Linked DNA regions of Schizosaccharomyces pombe. The protein of the gene in region 1 purifies or fractionates together with the protein of each later gene. This does not show direct contact. Each region holds a gene or a part of one and is shown on either strand. Other genes may lie near its edges.

The links.
Region 2: the proteins of rna14 (region 1) and prp28 purify together in Schizosaccharomyces pombe (affinity purification with western blotting, with the first as the bait; one study listed by BioGRID). This does not show direct contact.

The regions. Positions count from the first base shown.
Region 1 is NC_003424.3:1,347,099-1,351,731, reverse strand, and holds rna14 (cleavage and polyadenylation specificity factor complex subunit Rna14), read right to left. Parts: upstream 2,969-4,633; 5' UTR 2,953-2,968; coding exon 861-2,952; exon of another isoform or gene 818-860; coding exon 708-817; 3' UTR 501-707; downstream 1-500. Other genes in the region: TRAMP complex ATP-dependent RNA helicase subunit Mtr4, read left to right, coding at 3,290-4,633. UniProt on the Schizosaccharomyces pombe protein: Component of the cleavage factor IA (CFIA) complex, which is involved in the endonucleolytic cleavage during polyadenylation-dependent pre-mRNA 3'-end formation.
Region 2 is NC_003421.2:854,905-860,030, forward strand, and holds prp28 (U5 snRNP-associated protein Prp28), read left to right. Parts: upstream 1-2,112; 5' UTR 2,113-2,248; coding exon 2,249-4,237; 3' UTR 4,238-4,388; downstream 4,389-5,126. Other genes in the region: dolichol kinase Sec59, read right to left, coding at 1-1,022, 1,080-1,318; proteasome core particle subunit beta 3 Pup3, read right to left, coding at 4,875-5,126. UniProt on the Schizosaccharomyces pombe protein: ATP-dependent RNA helicase involved in mRNA splicing. May destabilize the U1/5'-splice site duplex to permit an effective competition for the 5'-splice site by the U6 snRNA, resulting in the switch between U1 and U6 at the 5'-splice site.

The DNA.
Region 1 (4,633 bases):
AATTTAAGAACATGAAGTTGCGGTCGAATACATTACAAAAAAGAAAAGAAAATTAGTATTATCACATAATTGCTTATATTAAATTACGGAAAACATCATGTTATCGATGGGTAGTTCCCAATAAATACTTTTCATATAATTTACAAGCTTCAAATAGAAAATTTAAGATAATAAGCGGATAGTTAACTTTGTACTCTGTGTCGAGTCAACTGTAATTTAAAAATTGATTTAACATAATTTTACTGTAGTTATGCTTCATGCACCACTTTAAATACGGTTAAGTTTAATATAAGAACGGTTACCATATTTAAATGCGAAATGCGATGAAGCTCAAACTTCATTCCTCACAAATTAAGAATAATTAGCAAAAAAGGAAATTTTAAAGTAAGGGTTCAGCGTCGATTAAAGTTTCTAATTATATTCAATACCAAAGTGAATTTTATGATTTGCGAAATCATTTTACATACTTGACCCAAAACCTCAAATCTAAATTCACATTGCTTTGCTCTTGTAACGATTAATATATTAAAAAAAAGATAAAATTGAGTAATACAATAAACTCGTCTTTAAAATATACCTATATCGTTTGGCGCTGTAATTTAACATCGATCATTCCTAAAACTTAATTTTATTTCATTATTAGTTCACTTTGCTCACCACCAAAAATGGAAAGAGTGCAGAAAATTTCTTTGCAATAGTCTAAATTTTTAATTAAATCTGGCACGCTTCAAATGTGCATTTGCATTTCGTAAACGAATGAAAGGGATATCTGATTTAATAATATGATCGATAAGTTTTGTTGGTTGGATTCGAGGACCTAAAAGATAGTTAGTCAATAAACGCGCAATTATGCAACATACCAGTTATTACTTGAGGAGCTGGGAGTTCATCCAAAAATTCGGTTATTATAGATGGTAACGGTACCGGAACAGTTGGAAGTGCTGAAGTAGGTGGATTCGATGCTCCTTGAGTGTTTGCTAATTCCAAAGACGCAGGAAGTAAACGAGTATCTTCCATTTCGACGTTACTTTTAGAAGAGGTAGAGGCTATAGAAACTTCATCATCTTCCCTGTTGTTATGAACATGGCCCGGGAATCCATTTCCTCCATTTAAGCGAACAGATAGTTCTCTAATTTTTTCCGCTTCTTTTGTTTCCCGTTCTTCTTCCTCAGCATCATCCTTCAAGCCATAGCGCGATAAAAATATGGCTTGTGTGGACTCTTGAGGGTAAACAACAGCCATTCTTTGACTAAGTGCTATAGCTGCATTCAAATCGCCATAATTACTTTCATAGTCAAGCCATTTTTGATATATGGGTTTAGCTTCATCAGCTGCAATCCTCGGGATGGCTTTCTCAAATAGCGCGCGAGCATTAGTTTCATCGTTTATAGCTATTAAGTATGACAAATATTTATAAACATAGGCTGGAACATCTCCAAAATGTCTCATACCCAACTCAAAAATTCGAGAGGCAATAACCGGATCCCTCGAACAATGATGTTCCATCATCGCGCTAGCTATATATATCTCATGAGACTGATATGGTGCTTTTCGAGCTTTGGTAAATATAGCTCTAGCTGCTTTCACGCCTTCAGTCCTCCTAATAGCATTTATTAAACAACACCAAGCAAGACTGTATTGACGAACAAGTCTACTTTTACGCTTTACTAGGTGTTCAGGTAATTTTTTTTCTTGAGGGTTTCCATCTGTTGAGCTTTCAGAGGACGACGATGCTTTGGAGTCCAATTGACTAATTTCCCGAGCTAAAGCTGCAATTAAAGATTCGTAGGTAGAGCGGATTTCAGATGTACGGTTATTCGCTTCTTCATGTTCCGCGTAGCGAACGTGTAAAACAAAATTTGAAGGACAATAACGCATTCCGCGACGAATAGTTTGAAGAGCACGCTGTTCATCCGAAATGCTCAAAAAGTAAGAAAATCCATCGAGCCATATCTGCGGACAAAGGGGAACATACAACATCGCTTGCTCAAAGGCATAAGCAATTCGATTCTGTAACATCGTGCCATGTTGTAAATCTAATGGATCACTTTGTTCCCATTTAATCCAGTTCATCCAACGGGAATACGCTATTCTTTCAACTTTTGTATACTTACGTTCAAAGGTAAAATCGTAAACTCTGAGTCCTTCTGTAAGGTTTGAAAGTTCCCTCATTGCTGCCCGCGCCGCCATATAAACAGGAGACTTCTCAGCTACAAATTTTCTGGCCGTTGCTCTGTTTACACTATTTTCGAATGCATCATAATCACGCCAAAGTTTTTCAATATTATGGATAGGTGTAGTGATAGCTCTTTGATAAATTCGACGAACATGATCTAGTTTTTGTTGTTGCTCCCATGTTGAATTAGCTGGGCCAGAACGTAAAAAATCCACAAACTCAGACCATATAGGGCCACTGAGTATGTCAACACCAATAGTATTTATTACAAACTCATAAGCCTGAGTAATTGTAGAACGAGATTGTCCTTCACCATCTGGATTTATTCGACGAATGTAACTTAAGTACAACGTCCATAAATCAACCGATAAAACCTTGACAAGGCATCGACTAAATAACAATTCAACGGCATGGAAATCGTTAAAGGCAAGCTCAGAACTAATGTAATCAACCCAAACTCGTGGAACGTAAGGAAAAGGTCGCAACATTTGTTCATAAGTTTCTCTTAACTCTTCGTGCTTCCCCTTAGATCCATACTCTTCTACCAGTGCATACCAAGAAGAAATATCGTTAGGGTTCTCTTGTATTTTATCCCGTAATTGTCCTACAAGGTCATTTGGGAGACGTTTTCGTTTTACACCACTACTGGCAGTCGTCGAAGTTGCTAATACATCACTCTCATTAACTGTTGAGGTATTTTCTTGTTCTTTAATTTTTGGAGAATCTTTTATAATATTCGAGCTAGCATCGGCTTCGACATTGTCATCAGAATTCATAATTTAAGTATTCGCTGGTAGAATTCACACAGCTTTCTCGCATTTGATACATACAGAAATTGTTACTTCAGTAACATTGAGGTAACATTCAATACTTTTAATCAACTTGCAAGCTTCATAATGCTGGTTATAAAGGAAATTTGTCTACATTTGGGAGAAACTTCACAGTGCTTAATTCTATTTTGTGAGGCTCACGCTTCAATACTTTAGGTAACTTAGTGAATCAAGTAGTATAATTTATTTAACAAATGCTAATACATCTTTCGTAAACAGAGAAAAAACAGATTTTTGCCAACACCAACTCCACATTGCAGTTTAAGAAATCTTTTTAATTGTGATGTTTGGTGGTGAGTTAGATGATGCTTTTGGAGTCTTTGAAGGTAAAGTTCCAAAAAGCTTAAAGGAGGAATCTAAAAATTCACAAAATTCACAAAATTCACAAAAAATAAAGCGTACTTTAACAGATAAAAATGCCTCTAACCAAGAGCAAGGTACAAAAAAGTTGGAGTCTTCAGTAGGGGAACAAGAATCTGCAACTAAAAGAGCTAAAATCGAAAATCTGAAGGATAACCAAGACCTTATTCCTAACAATGATGTTAACGGAATTCATATTAACAATTCTGCAGTCGCTGATACCAAACATAAGCCAAAAATAGGAGACATTGCTGCTGATGATATTTCCAATGAAGTATCTATAAAAAACGAAGGCGATACTATACCTGAGGCTACGGTAGCTGATTCTTTTGAGCAGGAAGCATCATTACAAGTTGCTGGGAAGGTTGGGATGACCGAAGCTAAATCATCTACTGAAGAAGTTGTAGAACTTCGTCATCAGGTCCGTCATCAAGTCTCTATTCCTCCAAATTATGATTATGTACCTATCTCTAAACATAAAAGTCCCATACCCCCTGCGCGCACATATCCCTTCACTTTGGATCCTTTTCAAGCAGTGTCTATTGCCTGTATTGAGCGTCAAGAATCAGTTTTGGTCAGTGCTCATACATCTGCTGGTAAAACTGTTGTTGCAGAATATGCAGTTGCTCAATCGCTTCGTGATAAACAGAGAGTTATTTATACAAGTCCTATCAAAGCTTTAAGTAATCAAAAGTATCGAGAACTTCTTGCTGAATTTGGAGATGTCGGTCTTATGACTGGTGATGTTACTATTAATCCAGATGCTACTTGTTTGGTTATGACCACTGAAATTCTCCGTTCAATGTTGTATCGTGGTTCAGAGGTTATGCGTGAAGTTGCGTGGGTTATTTTTGATGAGATTCACTACATGCGTGACAAAGAGCGCGGTGTTGTTTGGGAAGAGACCATTATCTTATTACCCGACAAATCACATTTTGTCTTCCTGTCTGCTACAATTCCAAATGCTATGCAATTTGCTGAATGGATTACAAAAATTCATCGTCAGCCTTGTCATGTAGTTTATACAGATTTTCGACCTACGCCTCTTCAACATTACCTATTCCCTAGCGGTAGCGATGGCATTCATTTAGTGGTTGATGAGAAAAGTAATTTCCGAGAAGAAAACTTTCAAAGAGCAATGAGTGCATTGATGGAAAAACAAGGCGATGACCCTGCCGCTATGGCTACTAAAGGTAATGCAAAGAAAGGAAAGACCGGAAAAGGCGGTGTCAAAGGACCTTCTGATATTTACAAAATCGTAAAAATG
Region 2 (5,126 bases), on another chromosome or scaffold:
TAGCCATAGAATCTCCACACCCTAAACATAAAACACCAACCAGTAATTCAACCGACGCAACAGGACCTTTTAAAGCATTCGAAAGCCAAATAGGAATTGCACAACCAATTAAAAGATATATATGGGAAATAATCAAGGGGCCCTTGTGATCCCTGTTATCGGTATACTCCCATAAAAATTCATGGATCATTTTTCCAAATGGCTTAAGACGAAGTATGCGTATACCTTCAACAAACAGAAATATGAATAAAACTCCCGAAAAAGACAGGTGGAGAAAATGAGGATCTAAGCAACAAACCGGAAGAAATAAAAAGACAACCAAAGCATGATATGTCTTTCTACGAAAGTTCAGCACTTCATCTTCAGTGGTAAAGTATTTGCCAAGTGGATTATTACGGTTGCTTCGCAGAAGAATAAAAATAAAACAACCAAGGCAAATTATCCACCAAATAATTATTTTAATCCTCGTTAGGGAATTCCTATGCGAAAAAATTTGGTTGAACAACCATACTTCAGGTGCTTGTCCAAGTTGCCCAGCAACCCATGACCTGGACACTAAAAATACGAGCAAAGCGCTAAAGAAATAAATTAAACAAGTAGTAAAGAGTGCCGATAAATGTAATTTAGCAGCAAGCTTTAATATGCAAAGGTTTAACAAAATGAGTGTAGGTAAGGAAATGAGTAAAACTCCCGATAGCACTGAAACTACAGGAGATACTTCATACGAAAATGTAGCAAAACAAAGACCTGTAAGTCCGGTACAAATTAAAATGCCTTCAATGAAGGTAAAACTGTTTTGTGTAATTTCAAGAAAGGCAAGGATGACCGTTTCGTGAAGTTTTAAATTAACACTCGAATTACCCAGTCCATCTAAAACAATAGAGAGCCATTTCCATCTTTGTGTTAAGGACAAAAGAGCGTTGTAAAGACATACCGTGTACATCTCATGATACAAGACAGAGTTTTCTCCAAAGCCGACATAGAGGATACAAAAGGGAAACGATGATAACCACAATAACGGCCTAAATAATGAGTTAGTTGACTTAAGTTTAAAAATTTAATTGTTCGTAAAATCGTACTCATATAGCTGGATTATGCTAGACGAACCCAATAAATAAAAGCATGCAGGTAAAAAAAAGGACGCATTTGAAATTTGGAGGAACTTTTTGCCAGAGTTGCATAAGAAAGGAATGAATAAAACTGAAAATATTTCCAAAATACTTTCAAAATTCCGATGTTGATAATTCACTTCAACACATTCTTGCTCACGATCAATCTTTTCCGACGTATCATAACATTTTTTCGACATTATATACATTAAAAATCAACAAACAGTTAGCCAACAGAAATGATGTTTTTCATTAACAGAGGATTTGCTAAATAGCAACAATTGCAAAAAATCGTTAGATTGCTAAGTACTCTTATAACCAAAACATCAGATTCTCAAGTATTTTTATTAGGAAAGCGTTTTTTAAATGTTTAAGAATTAACAACCTCCAGTAATTTCAACTTTAATCGGTTTAGAGGAAAGCGTTTGTAGGAGGTGTTGATATTACCAGTAAAGTACTATATGGAGACAACTGTTACATCGAATATTACGATCAAGATTCATTTCAATAAGAAAATTGAGGATTTGTTTATATCTTGAAGATAAACTAATTTCTCTCTCTCATTAAGTACTACAATAAGTTGAGAACATTGAAATATTGAAACTGTCAGCCTAGTAGTAAAACGTTGATTTGAAAGAATGATCATAGTTTGTTTGAATGAATTTCATAAACTTGTTGAAATAAGAGTAAAAAGAATTAAATGAATTTGTAAAACAATTGGGATTTATAAAGCAATTTAATGCGCCTTTTCTAGCAGCCAAATGGGTTTCCCAGTCAATTTTTAGAACAATTTCTGTAAGTAACCAGAAATGCCTTCAAATTCACTAGAATCTATATCGTTTTTATTACAAAGAATGAACATTCTTTAATGTAAAATGAACCTTGATAAAAATGAGCCATTTATTTACATTGGATTTTTAAAACATATATTGAATTACGATGAGTTTGGCAACCACGCTATACTGCAGGTATATTTAAAACACGATTTTGTCATTTGCATAACACCAACACGTTCATTGAAGGATTGTTTAGTTTAAAGACAGGTCTATTCATTTCTTTTGTATTATTTGGGATTGATATCCTAGAAAAATAGAAGAATTGTGAGTATCGTAAAAGTCTTTTTCTTTTGAAGCGTGTTCATGACAGCGCAAGACTCTATACCTTCGCTGGAGCAGCTTGTTCAGCAAAAAAGAGTTAAGGAAGAGAAGGCGGCGAGACCAAAGTTTTTATCCAAAGCTGAAAGAGCTCGATTGGCCCTTGAAAGACGACAAAAAGAGGTTGAAGAAGCGAAAGCAAAACAGAATGACAAATTATTAGATTTAAGAAAAAGGACTTTTACCAATCATTTAGAAAATAATGAATTAGCAGATGATGAAAAAAAATCCCAGGTATCCTCTGTATCTAGCAATAACAGTGGCACAGAGAGCTCCGCAACGGACGAAGCATTCAGCATGACCATTCGTCAAAGGTACATGGGTATAAAGCCTCCTGTGGTAAAAAAAAGAAGAAGAAATGCTGATAAAAAATTTGTATTTGATTGGGACGCCACAGACGATACCATGAAGGATGCGGAAACCTCGGCATCACCTGAGGCTACAATTGCTGTATTTGGAAGGGGGAAATTAGGCGGATTTGATGACCAGTCGATTCGAAAAGCGAAAAGTAATTCTGGTTTGATTCAGCGTTTGCTTCAAGGAACGGAGCAGGATAAGGCTCGCGCACACGAGTTGATTCAGCTTCAAGAAAAACGAGCCAAAAAAATAGATTGGGACGATGTGCCATGGAGGGAAAAGCCATTGGAAGCCATGAAACCCAGAGACTGGAGAATCCTCAAGGAAGATTATAATATATCCATTAAAGGGGATGATTTACCAAATCCTTTAAGAAATTGGGAAGAAGCAGGCTTACCAAGTGAGATGCTTAAAGTTTTGAAGAAAGTTAACTATAAAGAACCAAGTTCTATTCAAAGGGCAGCCATACCTGTTTTACTACAGCGTAAAGATTTAATTGGAATTGCCGAAACTGGTAGTGGTAAGACTGCCGCCTTTATAATCCCTCTCATAATTGCCATATCAAAATTGCCCCCATTAACCGAATCAAACATGCATCTTGGCCCATATGCTGTAGTTTTAGCACCAACACGTGAATTGGCCCAGCAAATTCAAGTGGAAGGCAACAAGTTTGCGGAACCTTTGGGTTTCCGGTGTGTTTCTGTCGTTGGTGGTCATGCTTTTGAAGAGCAATCATTTCAAATGAGTCAAGGTGCTCATATAGTTGTAGCTACTCCTGGTCGTCTTCTTGATTGTCTTGAAAGACGGCTATTTGTTCTCAGCCAATGCACTTATGTTGTAATGGACGAGGCGGATAGGATGCTTGACATGGGATTTGAAGATGATGTTAATAAAATTTTGTCATCACTCCCTTCCTCAAATGCTTCTGAAAAGGATGGGTCAATTCTTGCTACTGCAAATTCCTCTTCGTCAAGACGTCAAACCATTATGTTCAGTGCGACCTTACCCCCACGTGTTGCTAATTTGGCAAAGAGCTATTTAATTGAACCAGTGATGTTAACTATTGGAAACATTGGCCAGGCAGTTGACCGCGTTGAACAGCGTGTTGAGATGATATCTGACGATAGCAAAAAATGGAGAAGAGTTGAGGAGATTTTGGAATCTAATCGATTTTCACCTCCTATTATCATATTTGTAAATCTCAAGCGTAATATCGAGGCTATTGCGAAGCAATTAAATGCCATTGGTTGGCATGCTGTTACTCTTCATGGCAGTAAAAGTCAAGAACAGAGAGAGCGAGCTATCGAACAGTTAAGGAATAAGACGGCTGATATTCTTGTTGCAACTGACATTGCAGGTCGTGGTATTGATATACCTAATGTCTCTTTGGTATTGAATTACAACATGGCTAAAAGCATTGAAGACTATACCCATAGAATTGGTCGTACAGGTCGTGCAGGAAAATCTGGTACAGCAATAACGTTTTTGGGACCAGAGGATACTGATGTATATTATGATTTACGCGTGTTATTAAGCCGAAGCGCGAAAGCACATATTCCTGATGAATTACGGAATCATGAAGCAGCATTTGTTAGACATGCAGCAATCACCCAGTAAATATTGTCTTTGGAGCATAACATTGAATGGGCACTTTATAATGGCCTTTTTGTACGTTACACTATGCTGAAATATGATTTAGTGATTTATTATAAAGTTTTCTTGTATATAAACAGTTTCTAATTTAATGACTTCAACAATTGAAAAAGTTAGTTTATTTCTTAAATCCTTGTAAGTGTGCTTACAGCAAGCAATCCTTAGTCTTAGTCTACTGCATGTACGAAAATTATTTACAAGCATCTATGCATTGTGTGTATTTAATGGATAAAATTTCGCACTAATAAAACGTACAGAAGAAAGTACACCCTGCTTGTATACGATAAGAGTTTTACTTGTACAATAACCATTTAGGAAAATTTTGATTATTGAAAATGCTCACAAGCTAAAAGAAAGGATGACAGTTCAAGCTCGGATATCCACAAAGGCTGAGCAAAAAAAGGCGAGTATAATCGTTATCATATTGCTACGAACAACTTCATTGAAGTTTCCATTCCGAAGGGATTGTCAGAAACTGGTCTAAATCATGCCTCATGAAAAAATGTATCCTAATTTAATTTTTTAAAATTTCGTAGCAAGACTTACATTAAAATGATGAAAGAATCTAGATGAAAACGAAAGATCGTAATCGTGAAAGTGCTTAATCTTGGCGACCCTTAACAAGTCGTTTGATACATTTGTCTGCGGTGATAACATAAACGACACAGCCCCATCCACTAATACAATCACGATCTTGGGCGTTAAGTAAAGCTTGGGAGATAGTCTCAAAGAGATCGTCAGGCTCTAAATTGGGCTCGTATACAGACTCACACATACCATAAAGTTGTTCTGTAGCGGTTCCAGAAACGATGAAATCCTCTGCAAAATCGATGCATCCAATGGAATCGAATCC